Linked DNA regions of Lytechinus pictus. The protein of the gene in region 2 interacts with the protein of the main gene of each other region in a pairwise test. Links are inferred from orthologs where the notes say so. Each region holds a gene or a part of one and is shown on either strand. Other genes may lie near its edges. The genes, in order: LIM domain transcription factor LMO4.1-like and mothers against decapentaplegic homolog 4-like.

Evidence for each region.
Region 1: the proteins of mothers against decapentaplegic homolog 4-like (region 2) and LIM domain transcription factor LMO4.1-like interact in binary tests that used the Homo sapiens proteins (3 or more experiments, as listed by UniProt). The link is inferred for Lytechinus pictus from reciprocal best matches to the Homo sapiens genes SMAD4 and LMO4.

What each region holds. Positions count from the first base shown.
Region 1 is NC_087259.1:10,298,941-10,306,392, forward strand, and holds the start of LIM domain transcription factor LMO4.1-like, read right to left. Parts: upstream 3,243-7,452; coding exon 2,980-3,242; intron 1-2,979. UniProt on the Homo sapiens protein: Transcription cofactor. Plays a role in establishing motor neuron identity, in concert with MNX1, acting, at least in part, to disrupt LDB1-LHX3 complexes thereby negatively modulating interneuron genes in motor neurons.
Region 2 is NC_087247.1:25,801,590-25,809,761, forward strand, and holds the start of mothers against decapentaplegic homolog 4-like, read left to right. Parts: upstream 1-4,776; 5' UTR 4,777-4,922; coding exon 4,923-5,165; intron 5,166-8,172. UniProt on the Homo sapiens protein: In muscle physiology, plays a central role in the balance between atrophy and hypertrophy. When recruited by MSTN, promotes atrophy response via phosphorylated SMAD2/4.

The DNA.
Region 1 (7,452 bases), on a different chromosome or scaffold from region 2:
TGCCATGACGTGTAAATGTTTTCACGTCCTTTAGACTCAGAGCAAACGACTTTAACAGCACGGTGCTATCACAGGGAGATACTTTAGTTAAAGATGATCAACTTTGCAAGACTGCCATGTCATCCACGCTTGAAAACCGCTCAAAATGTTGGGACAGAAACACATCGCGTTCCTTTACGAATTCTACATCTGTGCATTATGGATACATGAACGAGCCCTACCACCAGCACCGCTAATTCCAACATGCCAAGAAGATGTTTCATTTGATCTTCCCGACGCTTCTTGGGAGAAGAACGTATGGACGTCTTAGAGGCTGATCAGAGGAGAAGCGACTTAATTAATTAGTCCCCCAACAGGATCCACTGTAACTTGATTGATTAAAGAGTGCATTAGATTAAGGGTAAGACATTTCACAGACAAGTCATACATTCGGAGATACCGTCTTGTCTCTTTACGCACTTGCCATCTGCCCTGCTATTGGATGCACCCGACACTCTTTTCTTTTCCCGCCCAAAAAGGTCTCCATTATAACAGCACCCACACCCACATTCAAACACTAGATCCATTTCGAGGCAAAGCAATCCCCTTAAATTGCTTTAAATATGATGAATGAACATTTACCATCAAAATGAATGCCTCAAATATCCATGAATAAACCATTCATTCCCCGATTTCTGCTGAGTTTTAGCAATGGCATATCCCCTAAATCTCTAATACTTCTCGAGTTATGGTTATTGAAAATGCCTGCGTATACAATCCCCATAAACAGACTTTCATTCACGGATTCGGACAAAGTAAGTAATAGCTTGTCGTTTAACCTGTCTGCAGGGATCACTACTCGAACAATCAACCATTTATCTCTTCTTCCTCAAATTTCGGAAATTAAAGGGGATCCTTGGACATTGGATGCCGTGAACTTTCGTATGTCTGCCCACTGATATCGTTGGTTAGAATCGGACATAGGCGTCAATACTAATAATATCCTATAATATCCGGAGATAATGTTAGATATGCCAACCTCACGCACACACTCAAAACAAGGTTGCATCAAAACAATGGAATATGCAGCTCTCTACTAGTTAACCCTTGTGCTACTTCTTCATTTTCAGCGTTACAGTATACATTAATGTTGGCTTTAAATATATTCTGAATAATACATTCCTCAAAGAATTCAATTAACGAATATTTTTGTGAGCCCCAAATATAAAAGCATTGTATTTTTATCTTTCATTATTGAATGCCGAATTCGTCTATTCGTCATGTCTCACTTTGAAGATGTTAAAAAAAACTGCCATGAAATATATACCTACCAGTATAAATGTGCTTAAAGTTACCTCAATTGAATGGCGACAACTTTCTATGATTTCCTTCATATCGTATCGATTACAGATGACATTTGATAAGGAATATTTTTAAATCCGAACAGAAACTTGCCAACCAATTTAAGTCGTTTCTTATTAATAAATCGTTTATTCAATAGGCCTTTTTTTGCCTGAATATTTTTCTATTCACGGGTTTACACTATTTTGTGTATGTAGATTCATTTCAAATTCACTAAGGTGAATAGCCTTGATTGGTTTTTTGTCTTTGCTGGTCCTCACATCCAATAACCGCTATTATTCGTCATTTTAAATCTTTTAAATTGTCCTTTGTGTTCATCTGTTGCCTCTTTATACAGTAGTATATCAATTATCGCCTTACCATATTATGCCTTTATACTTGATGTGAATAAGAAGCCATATATTGCCAATCAATCAATCAATCGATCAAAAAATACAATATGAACAGTACTAGTCGTGCTACTAAACCCAAACCACACGCGTCTACAAGACTAGACTATAATTATGCGGAATGCATTCATTGCGTGATAATAACAATTGCAATAAAATACCTAATGTATTGCCACTGTCACGACTGTGATGTGGAGGGGGGGGGGGGGAGATGATGAATGATCATTGATGCGATCCCTCTCATGAATGGGGTCACGATGCAAAGACTAATCACGGGATGAGAGTTTGATTCGCTCCTGAAGATGACGGGAGAAGAAAAGGAGAAGGCGAGGCAGAGACGAGATTCGATGGATGCTCGGGCCAGGACAGGAAGTGAAACCATTCAGTCTGAAGAGGGATAATGCCTCCACTGGCTCCCGTTCGTCAAGAGGTTCTGACACGACTCCATAATAATCTTGGCATATCACAACAAGGTGAAGCCACCGAGATGGATTGTGATGCCAGGGCACCGTTCCCGACTCCAGAGAACGAAAATGCAGCCTGACCTGAACACTAAGTACTTATTTTCTGCTAAGAACGTTTGCGATTCCAAAGGAGGAACTTGGTAATGACTCACAAATAGACAGACAATACCCTTTATCTCCCTGCAGCACTCAACGGCACAATCTATACAAATGAAATCCTAGTACAGGTGTTTCAGAGGTCAGTACTTAAATCTTAGTCTTAGACAAATCCCTGCAGTCCAGTATTATTGCGTCCACAATAACATTTCCAGATCTTCACTACTACTCTATATAATTTGTTGTGGTTGTTTTGTTATTATTCATTCATCATAACTCTTCCGTTTTCACTGTTTACTATTTTTTTTTTTTTTGGGGGGGGGTTAGATTTTAACGAAATTCTATTTTTAAGAGTCAAGAATTGATTCGACTCGTTTGAGTCCACAAATTGAATGTGATCTCGGAAAAAAAATCAAGGAATGAGAAATGGAAATGGTCGGCCATGAGTAACCATGCGCGTATACTAATTTTACTTTTCAAGACTTTACCCGATGCGCGTAGAGCGCATAAAACATCGCATCAGAAATGCGACCGACTGCCAACGTTTTAAAATCAATCTTCTAGAAAAATACCCAACTCTAAGTCTTACCCAGCCCCAAAATGACCCACCCACTCGAAACTCCCGAGCCATCCGTCACCCGTGTCGCCTCCATCTTATCGATAACCTGACGTGAAAGGTACTCACTAACCTGAGGTAATCTTTCTTGCAGAGAATCATTCCTGCCTTGGAGAAACACGAGTGTCCGATCTCGCCAAGTTGAACATTGCAGCAAGAGCACTTTAGACATCCCGTGTGCCAGAATCGATCTACGGCATGCAGCAATATGCGATCGATGATCTTGCCGCCACACCCCGCGCAACATCGTACAGCATTGTTGTTGTTGTTGTTGTTGCTGTTGTTGTTGTTGCTGTTCGTGGTTGGTGCAGGTCTGTTTTCTTTGGTGCTGTCCATATTGTTAGCTGCAATGAATAAAAGTGATAAATAAAACATGTAAAGAGTTGATGATTCGGTGGCTAAAGGTTGCAGGGATATCTTAAAAATGTATTTTTGCATCTAAAAAAAACAGTTTACGGACGATTTCTTACTACAATTTGGGTTAGACCCCCCTTCGGATATCTGTGAACGAACATGTGAGTTGTTGGTTACATAGCGAATGAATATGGACGATTGAATTTTCATTCCAAGATATCAGATAGAAACAATAAAAATAGGGTCCATGGTAGTACTAATGGTGGTTTGCAATGACAATCGATTTTATCGAATTACAAGATAGATGTTTTCTTTTTCAACAGTTCACACCACTGTCGATACCTTCAAAACGTTTCCTTGAACATGGTTCACACTTTGTTTAAACAATCGGAAACGGACGTCATTCAATAAAACCAAAGAAACTATATTTCCTATATCACTGACGACTCGTTTGGACAACATTGATTCGAATACAAAGATAATACCACGCACAAGTGTCTGACCTCTAGCGTAAAAAAAAATGGGGGGGGGGTGGGTGGGAAAAAGCAACCTTTTCCATTTTCAGGTCTGCTTGCTTTGTAAAAGAACACTTTACTCTGCTAATGCGACTTCACTCGAATGAAAGGTACAGAGGCACGTCAGCTCTGTGAAAGAAAAGAGTAAATGTAATCAAATATACTACCTGCGCGCGCTAAAAGCTAGAACGTAATAATGCATTTCGCCTAATGCTTTTAGTATATGACGTTATTCACGTGAGAAATGGGTTTATTCCATATTTCATAGAGGCAGTTTGTGCATAAAAGGAAGTAACATAAAACTCACCAAAGCATTTTAGCGTTTTCGGATCGTATTATGGAGCTCCAATGACTCTCCTTTTGAATTATACCGACATATAAGATCTAATGTGTGCTTATCATTTCTCATGTCTGCTGTGTCGGGCTTATTTGTCTTCAGACAACAGTCTGAGAGATATCGATTTTCAACTGAGTTTCTAAAGGCGTCTAATTTCATAATTGAGTCGGGGTAAATGGGGCATTTAGAGAAGTCTGCTCAATGGAATATTTTGTAGCTTGCCGGGGAAACAAATCAGTGGTAAAAGGAGAAGAAATGCTTATAGCCATCCACACACAGGACGCGCTTCGATTGGTAAAGCGAGAATCAGGGGGAACAAGTAATTCGTTCCCTGAAAGGTCATGTTATATTACCCTCTTTTCATCCCATTCAACACAACCATGAAGTAGTTACTAATGTTATTGAATATATCCTTACAAAAACAAGAATGATTTGCTCCGTTTTAGATGGAATTCTATATGTTTTACGATGTGCCGTTGCTTCAAACGATGACAAGCTTCTATTCTTCAGGTATGACGTGACTGGCAAAGTTCAAATGCGCTTCAAAGGAAACCACTAAAGAAATTCTACAACTAGCCTCTAGGGGCGATTCCACTGCTAGGTGATACAGTCAATTCAAGATCGAGGAAGTCGGGTGAGCTGAAACTAACCGAATATTTATGAAGATATAATAAGGCAAAGGTCTGTTTGATGGTGGTGATATACGATAGAATATTGGTAACAGTTGGACAACCCCTTGGGAGGGATCAACGGTGTAAGATAGTGAGATAGACAGCCAATTTAACGTGCCAACTCCTGCTCCTTCCACTGAAGGGCGCGAGATGTGACGGGGACCGAAGTAACAAATCCAGCGCATCCTATCAATATTCATCACCATCTCATTGGAATATTCATAAGGCTTGATTAATAACACGTTAAAGTGCGGGCTCGGGGGAGAGATGGCGAGAGATGGCAAGATTAGTTTCATCATCCCGTCATGCTGCTGCGCTGAAACCGAGAAAACAAAGATAATGAGATTTGAAACATATACCTGTGTGACAATCTAATGAAATTTTTTTGCGACACACGCGCATGACAGCCAATACATTAAAGTGATACTTGCGCTGTGTGCAATTCTCAAATACACTGTATTAAGATACCCCTTTCTTTCTTTCCTTCTCTCTTGCAAAGATACCGTCTTGGCAAGACAAGATGCAGCCTCCCCTCATTATTACACCAATTTCATCCAAGTAATCCCACTTGTAGTTTATAAACCAACTGAACCTCAATCAAAATAATTGCCCGGGACACGTTGATATGAAAACATATAGCCAGTCATAATGAGAAAATGTAACAGCATTGGATACAAGTTCGATCTCGCATGGCACACATATCAAATCAGAAAGTAATTTGAAGAGCTTTGCTTTTTACGACCACCATACATCGTAAGGGCTTTAGAGTTAATTTATTTCTCAATCACTCGGGTATTACTCAGATAATGAGCTACCTGGATGAAGGACTACATGCATGCTTCTCCTTCCCGTTCAAAAATTAATATCTCAACATGATCTAAGCCTTTCGTTTAAAGGATGTTCGGCGAACATTCCCCATTCCCCTCTCTCTCCCTCTTCAATAATGGCAAGATAATGCTCGACTCGAGTGTGCGTAGAATTCTGAATGTAATGAAAATATTGATCGTATTTTTATGAGATATTTTGGAAAGATTAATTTCGAAGGGGTACGCGTGAGATACATTCACTTCGATATTATTGGGGGGAATCGGGATTGAAGTTTGAAAGCATTCACGACAGGACAGCGTGATTTTCGAGGTAGACAAGAGACTATGGCCGTCATAATATTGTATTTGCCTTAATCAGGCATCAAAACTCCATTACTTCTAATGAATTCGCTTGGTTGATTTATTAAATGAAATCGTAATGCACTCTACCCAGTTCAATCTACGTCAGGATCTACTCATCAATCTCTCTCCTCCTCTCTCCCGTCCAAATCCATTCCTGTGCGCTTTAAGCATGCTTACTTCTAGAGCATGACATTCTAAACTAAATTAGTACTTAAAAAAGGGGCAAGTGGCTTGCAACGTTGCAAACACAAAACGGACCCTTTTGCGGGAAATACCCGGGCTGAACTATAAATTGAGACCTGACAAATTATCATTTCCGCGTTTGAAAAAGAATATATGATATTCAAAAACTGTCATTATAGATATTGGATCTTTTGTGTTATTGTTGTTGTAATTGCAAGATATAACTGCACGAACCATGTCGACTGGTTTATCTACCTGTAGCAACAAGATGATATTACCGACAAAGATGTAATTAACTTGGGAATGAAATTTGCGCTTCATATTAATTCTTGCGTGTTATCGGGGTTTTTTTTGCTCACCACAGTTAATAAGATGTGAACTTTTGCCAGTCCAAATATCGTTGTGTCGATGCTAGAGATCGATCAGTAGACTGCCGCAATCACGCATATAGCATAATAAAAACCCGGATATACTATTTGTTTTTCATATTTCCGACACAATAATCATTCGGAAATTCGTAATGCCCCCCCCCCCCCCAATCTATATATTATTCCAATATATCTTCAAGACGAGCGCTCATTCACCTTGAATTTAAATTGCCACACTATTTCAAGTTGTGCAGTCCAGGAAAAATCGTGATTACACTTTCACAGTAATACTGATATCTCCAGGTATCATGCTCAGATGAACAAAAACAGAAATAGTCCTATATCTTTTTTTCGACCAGCTTCGCAAGGCGTGAATTGGCCGAATCTTTAGTCAAACTAATTACTTTTATACTTATTTTTTGTGTGTGGAAAACTCGCCAAACCAACTCACGTTGCGTGCTGCTCACACCTTTGGGGAGAGTATACCTCCTTCATTGTTTTTATGAAAAGGTAAACGAATCAAAGAGGGTTTGAAATTCAGAGCACGATACAATATACCTCGATTGCTTTGATGCAGACGATCTTGAAACAAAGAAGTGGGAACTAATCAAGAGAAAAATAAAGTGGCGTGACGGGTTCGATTTATCTTGTGTAATTTCAGGTCCTTCTATCAATTTTGGAAATGCCGGGCTGAATACGTTTTCTGGGGGTAACGAGCAAACTCGAACTCTTCATAGGACTGCGATATCGACTCGAGTCTTTGGAATTTCTCGAAACCGTTTTCTCTTTGTTTTATCCTTGAATTTCATACATGGGCCAACATCGACAAAAGAAATATTTATTCTATCTATCGGATTTCAATACAAACCATAATTTATTATCGAGGTAGTTCGTTGTGACGGGAGACATTAATATCAGCATGTTGCCTTTAATAAGTGTTTCGAGTAAG
Region 2 (8,172 bases):
GTCTGGCTTCATGACATCGGCATCATGGTGATATAATTCTGTGTATAATAAAAAGATTTTCAGCCATGGTCCATACCAGTGCTCCTAAATAATTTAATCGCCTGCCTGAGTCCTGACCAGTTTTAGAAATCTGAAGAAAAAATCTGCTGGAATTGTGCAAAAACATTATTTCTAAAATAAAGACTTTTTAATTTTAATAGTATACGCCAAAATGCATGATTCTAAACTTATATCAGATCTGTATCTGTCATCTGACCTGAATGCATCGTCAGAACAAGTACAGTTTCCAAACATGCTTACCTTGACTTTTGACTGGATCAAACAGCGTAACCTGCAACATGCATCGGGAGCAAGTGAATGGGACCGTGCAGCTTGGAGTTTTTCAATAGTTAGTAGAGCAACACAACGAAGACTGTCGAGTGGACAAAATCGATCTTTCCAGTTCACAATTCAATAAAAACCGGGCAAAATAACACAGTTCTGGTTCCCTTATAGTCTGAAGTTGTCGAAAACAGAATTCGGATATCACAATACATGAAGAAAACAGTAAATTCGAAGAAAAATAAAGACCAGGAAGGTGAATCAGCTATCAGTGTACTGCTGGCTTGCACAGAGCTAGAGAGCGGCTGAGTGAGTCGATCATCATGTGACGTCATTATTCTCGACTGTATTTGATCGCGTTATTGTCTGTCTGGGGGCGGCTGGGGGGCTGAGAAGGGTCTCTTATAATTTCATTTCTTGCATTTCCACGACATCAATAAGACTTTTTAGTGACATATTTGTGTATAAAAAGACAAGACCTTTCCATTCATATATAATTTGTCTATAATCATCACTTTCATGAATTTTCTTTGGATGTATACTTTAAGAAGAAAACATAAAAGGAAATAAACAAATAAGAAAATGCTGAAATAACTTTCCTGCACATGTATGATAAACCTTGTCCAAAGATTAAAAAAGTTCTGAGAATGGGTCATTGTATATTTGTTTTACATCCCTTCCACTCATACCATTTTACAGCGAAATGATTTTTAATAAGTCGATATAGAACAATCGTTGAGAAGTTGAGAAAATAATAAGTATTGCCATATGGATCGTCTCTTAAGCGAGCGCACCTGGTTAGTGCAGCTCGCCGAAAGTTCCCGTGGCATGCAGTGGAGAGTACCGTTTGGCTGAGCAGCGCTCTGCTCGCATCGCGCCGCACAGCTCGCGAATCGCGAGTTTGGGGGGGGGGGTCAAAAAACCTATAGTTCACTTATTCCCTAGGGAAAAAATGGACTATGCAAGGAAAATGAACTATTTCATGGCAAACGTTTTTCGTAGTAAAACTATTCTTTTTCTCCTTGTGTACACTCTACAACAATCTTAAGTAAGGGATATAATATCAACTAAAAAAACTTAAAGTTATGATTTTCAGTTTTCATATTGACAGTATGAAAATCCCGATTGCATAAACCTGCATAATCGTTATAAAAGTATTGGAAAAAAAGAAGAATTAATTTTCAGGTCTCCAGTTGAAGGTCAAAGCTCATTCTAAAGGGGGGGTCAATAAACTGATATACAATGTACAGTGCGTCCCAGAAAAAGGAAACTGGGATTTCCTAGTCTTTTTCATTCAAAGGCAAATGAATTATTTGCCTTTTTATTTCATTGAAATAAAAAGGCAAATAAAAAAGGGCAAATAGTGTATGAGTGTAATGAATTATTTGCCTTTTTATTTCACTTACATAACCATGTATCATCCAATTATTCCTCTTTAATTTGATACCTAATTTGAGATGAACACTTCATGCATTAATGAGCAATACGAGTTTGAAATTATAATGTCAAAATCAGGTTGCACAGAAAAATTTGACAAGATTGGTTTGTGTTACGACGACCGTGCATCGTTATAAAAGTACTTGTACTTTCATTTTCTGCAAAAATCTAAAAATCGATATTTTGACCAAAATTGACTGATACGACGGTTCGGATGACCGCCGACAAATTGTTTGCATATGTATATCGGGACATTCGACACACTGCCAAATATGGCACTCCTCAATATCCGACATCTTGGCATGCTGTATTACGTGCTCACGCTTTTCAAAGTCTAGGCATACATGTAGGTCTATGTAGGCGTGTGGAGCTGAGAATCGTGCCCCATATCGAGAGAGGATAGAGGTTCTGTTGGTATTTAATTCTTATTATTGATCACTGATTCCTATATGAATATGATTTTTTTAGCTCATCCGGCCCGAAGGGCAAGTTGAGCTTATGCCGTGGCTTCCGTCGTCCATCCATAAATTTCAAAATGCTTCTTCTTCGCCATGTCGAGTCCGATTTCAATTCTGTTTGCTTTATATGATAGCACTAGGTGGGGGATTCAAAACTTCTACACAGAATTTTGAAACTCATTAAATATGCTAATTTATGCGCATTTTTCAAAATTCACAAAAAATGCTTCTTCTTTATTTGTTGACTGATTTTGAATTTTTTGCTTCCATCTGGTAGAGCTTCATGAGGTTCACCAAATTTCTAGACAGAATTCTGAAATTTTGAGTAGAACAATTTTTATGCTAATTTATGCAAAATTGATTTATGCATATTTTTAAAAATTCACATAATAAAATGCTTGTTCTTCTGAATTTGTTGACCGATTTTGATTTTTATTCTTCCAACTGGTAGAGCTTCATGAGGTTCACCAAACTTCTACACAGAATTTTGAAATTTTGAGTAGAAAATTATTTATGCTAATTCATGCGAAAATTCATAGATCACAGAAAATGCCTCTTTATTTGTTGACTGAATTTCAAAATGCTTCTTCTTCGTCATTTCAAGTCTGTAATTCTGTTTGCTTTTTATGATAGCATTTAACATTGGGGGATTCAAAACTTCTTCACAGAATTTTGAAACTCATTAAATATATGCTAATTTATATCATTTTTCAAAATTCACAAAAAATGCTTCTTCTTTATTTGTTGACCGATTTTGATTTTTTTGCTTCCATCTGATAGAGCTTTATGAGGTTCACCAAAATTCTACACAAAATTTTGAAATTTTGAGTAGAACAATTTCTATGCTAATTTATGCGAAATTAATTTATGCATATTTTAAAAAATTCACATGAAATGCTTCTTCTTCTGAATTTGTTGACCGATTTTGATTTTTTTCTTCCATCTGGTAGAGCGTCATGAGGTTCACCAAACTTCTACACAGAATTTTGAACTTTTGACTAGAAAATTTTTTAAGCTCATTTATGCATTACTTTAAAAATTCATATAAAATGCTTCTTCTTTATTTGTTGACCAATTTTGATTTTATTTTCCTTCCATCTGGTAGAGCTGCATGGGGAACACCAAACTTGTACACAAAATTTTGAAATTTTGTCTAGAAAATTATTAATGCTAATTTATGCAAAATTTATTCATAAATCACAAATGATTTTTCCCCTTCATTTGTTGATCAGTTTCAATTTTGTTTGCTTTATATGATAGCTCTAGGTGGTGATACAAAATTTCAACACAGAATTTTGAAACTCATTAATATTCTAATTTATTCAATATATTTTCAAAACTCACAAAAAATACTTAATTATTTGTTGATTGATTTTGATTATTTTTGTTCCATCTGAGAGCTACATGAGGTTCATCAAGGTTCTACACAAGAGTTAAGAAATTTTGACTATGCTTATTTATATGAAGTTTATTCATAGATCACAAAAAATGCTTCTATGTCATTTTTTATCAATTTCAATTCTATATCCTCAATTTAGGTCACCAATATCATGCACTACAGTGTCAACTGGGCTGAAATTCAAATTGTGTTAAATTTCGTTGTCATATCCCCACTTTCCTTTTCTTATGTAATACATGAAATCATAATTGTTTCATTTTTTCATACATGTGTAAATTAATGATGTGTCTCCATTATGATGAAATAAGTTGGGGCAATAAATAACTAATAATAATCAGTTGTCAATCCAATTGTTTTTGTTCTTGGTAGAAAAAATTTGAATAAACCTAATTTCAATTATAATAAAATACATAAGAACAAGTGGGGATATGACATCATCAGCCCACCTAATGAATATTCATGAAGACATGCCTAAAACTGTTTCACCGGAATAATGCAAATCTTTAAAATTCAATAACTTTGTTATTCGTTATCAAATTTTGATCAAATTTTCAGCATTTTGCTCTGTGAATTTTACTCTATTTATTGAGATATAAACATCTCCAGCCTGGACCATCCCTTTTAGCCTAAATTGCTATGTCAGGAAAAGTTATTATACATAATCTGAATACACATAAAATTTGAAAGCTGTGCCAAAGTGTGAAATGAAATATGGCAAAAACTAGTCCAAAGCTGTAGATTTTATAATCAATTCAAGCTTGCAAGAAGATATACCATGTGATCAAAAAATTCTAGCAGGAAATCAAATGTGTAATCTGAAAAGCAAAAATATTACCATGTTTCTCTGTGTACAAACCCATGGAATCACAATGCTTTTAACACATCATGATGTCACAGATAAACACGATAAACCCTTTTTTTTAAAGCCCAAAGGTACTCAGCGGAGAAGTAATGAAAATATATAAACTCTTCATTGCTGTGTTTTACAGTTTATAAGCTTTCGATTGATTGACCTTTCAATTTCACTTTAGGTCCAATCGGGGTCTGGAAGCAATGTTTTCAAAGTGAAAAATTTACTTCTAGTTTACAGGACATTACATTGTTGGGCATGATCATTAATTGGGCTCCATTTCTTTTATTCCTTCTTTCTTACAAATATGCAGGAACTCCTTGGACAGATGCCTTAGTTCATGGTGTAGCAGAAAATACACCAAATATCATTTTGTAGTTGCAGAAGTGGCACATTTCAGACCGGTTTCGAGGTGACCATTAGTGTCATCTACCCCACTGTCAAGCTGGCGTACCCAATGGGAACAATGGCGGGGGCCCCAACGAGTGCCGATGCCTGTCTTAGTATAGTACACAGCCTCATGTGCCATCGGCAGGGAGGAGAATCAGAATCTTTTGCAAAGAGGGCCATTGAAAGTTTGGTGAAAAAACTGAAAGAGAAGAGAGATGAGCTGGACAGCCTTATCACAGCCATTACCACAAACGGTGCACATCCCAGTAAATGTGTCACGATACAAAGGACATTGGATGGCAGGTTACAGGTAATTTAACTCCATTTTACTAGCTAGCAACAAGCGAAAAAGTTGGATTTGTCTTTGTAAAAGACTCACCCGACTTTTAAAAAGGGGGAAGAGGTGCGTGTTATTCACCGGCAAATATGGTACCTCAAATTCCATCAAAAGCTAATATGCTTTCGACAAAGTTTATTAATTCCTTTTAATTAAAGAATCATTAACTTTACACCAAGCCCGTGTCTTATTTTCTTGTTTTGATGATCATGGGAAAAAATAAAGATTTGTACATTTTGGGAGCACAATTTTGATATATTTCTTTCATTTATTTATTTTTCTTTTTAAAGAATTAGCAAAACACCATATTGAAAATGTTCCTCAATTGGGCAGGGCCTGTTGATTGTTTTAAATTGATGGAAACCTATATTATTCAGGACACTTTTCTAGTTTTTGTGACGAGGAGAAAGGTTTGGAATGGGGCCTGACATACTGGTTGTCAAACAGTCATTTGGAATGGAATTAGTGTTGCAATGTTAACTTTGTATGAACTGAGTTAAACCTTACAAACAATGGGAAGGAGAGGGGTGCTTTTTCCCCTGTCCTAATTGCAGGCACGTGATGGTTCTTATTTCTGAGAACCTTTGTATTATAGATGGCGTGAGGTGAAAATGTTTTCTTATTACCTCAATGTTTATCATCAAGGGAGGGTATTTCAAAGGTAACTGGTTTGCATTTCCCCCCAGGAAGGAACAGTTCTCCTTTCCAGGTTGTATTAGAAAGTGAAACCTGTCTCGGAGAGAGCTCACCTGGATATGGCATATTAGACGGTTTCCTCTCAGGAGTGTGCATGTCACACACTGCACTGCCAATATGTTTCCCTTTCTATCAACAAACTAACCTATTTCTTACCAACTCTCTTTTGCCCCCCTTGCCAGCCAGGTCATTTAAAACGAAAATAATTGGAAAATGTGAGGTTTTTCTTGACAAGGTAATAGTTCTGGTAAATAAGTAATAAATACTAATGTTCGTACTTTTGAAAGGTTTCAAAGAGGAAATCTTAAAACATACAAAAAATTATATTGATACAACAAGAAAAGATCAACAATCACCAAATGTTTGTATTTGAATGTTAGGACTAACCGGGTGTGATGGGGGGGGGGGGGGGTAGCCAGACAGGAACCCTTTTTTGTGGGGGGGCTGAGAAAATATTTTTCTCTGCCTGTCAGAAAAATCTGAATCAATTAACCTACTCTTTGATGTGACAAAGCTTAGCTTTCCTCAAGTTGGGAAGAGATTTCTGTGCCACCTCTTTGATGAAATCCAGGACACACCATGACCAAAAGCTTTAGGATACAGAAAGTTACCAGAACAAAAAATCATTTTTTATTTTATTCTAGAGCAATTAAACAGTCATTCTTAAATAAAAACATTGTACCATCTCATAGTGATTACTTTAAAATCAATAATTTGAATGGAATACATTTACTAGTCCATTACATGATTTACATCAGGTGTATCGTCACTTGCAGTGGATAGTGCTAACAAATCACCAGCGGTGATCATTACATGTAACATGTTGTTGAGTTGTTATCACTGCATGCGATTGAATTCAACTTGTTTTCTCTCTTTGTCAGAAGAATTGTGAATTTGTGAGGTAGAATACATCATTGTGCGCGATGCATATTATCCATAGTGATGTATTATTTGTCACATTACCGAGGTTTCGTTTCTCTGCGACTGCTACGTAATCCTAGTTCACTGGAAGTGGTGACACCGCTCGTTCAGTATCACGTTCGTACAATGATGAGAACAGTTTCGATTTCAGTCGACGTACCCGTACCAGGCCACAGCATAGACTGGCGTGATAGCGAGCGGGCCAAGAGCCGATGCTCAGCCGGAGGATTAGGCATAGCATCACGCCACGAACCAGTTGGGTGACTTGAGGGTGCAGCATTTGCACTCTTGCTCTTCGCATGCTTAAAAACGTTCTTACGTATGTGAGAACATGTACCAATATGAATCCCACAGTGTAGTTAACAATTTAAAATGATATCAAGAGAATGGATCGTTCAATTTCCACAGTTTTATGAAAATACATTGAAAATATGCATTTTGAGGAGAGATGCATGAATAGCGGATCTCGACGAAGTTAATCCCTGCAACCCTGGTAGAGTCATGCTGCCATGCCTGCTGAGCGCTGCATGTCGCAAGATGAGCTCTGGAAGCTGGGTGCGCAAACGTGGCACAAAAGCCCCAAAACACAGTTGTTTGGATATAGAACATGAATTGTACCTTCTGGATATGTACACTCCCCTCCAAAAGTTTGGGAACACCTGCCTTCAGTGTGTGTTTTTCGAACTTTGGTAGACTTTACTGAAGTTAAGCCTCATAGTACAGCTGTATTTTTGTTTTAAAGTGAAGGCTATACACAAGTGTACATTTTATCATTGATTCAAACAAATTCAAAGCTCTTAAGGGACGTGCAGCTGCCAAAGAGGGCAGGCTACCAGTCAAGATGGCATTCTCTAAAAAATGCCTACTTCTTTTAACATTGTTCTGTTTGGGGTTCTTTTCTGAAATTCTTCCCAATATTTTGTGAATGTTACAGCAGATGTCCTCAGAATTTGTTGCTCAGTATTGTTCATAAGACAGTTAATTTATGGAAATCTGCATCTTTATCCTGGAAAACATCTGAACTTGACAAATGCCTAATCCTTGTTTAAAGAAAATACATGGAAGTGGAGTAGACATCAGTGCAATTTGAAATTCATGAATTCAAAAGTTATTCAGAGTTTTTTTACACTTATTCCAGTGCACCTTCACTCATTTTGCCTATTCGGTTTTCTTAGTCAGAAGTCAGTCACAAAATTAAAATGGCTATGACAAGACAGCTTTCTTTGGAAACATGTCAGTCAATTGTAGTTTTGAGGAAAGAAGGCTACTCCATGCAAGAAATAGCCAGGAAACTCAAGATCAGTATCCATGCGGTTCACTACAGCCTGAAACGCAAAGAAGCCACTGGGTCTAATGGGAACAG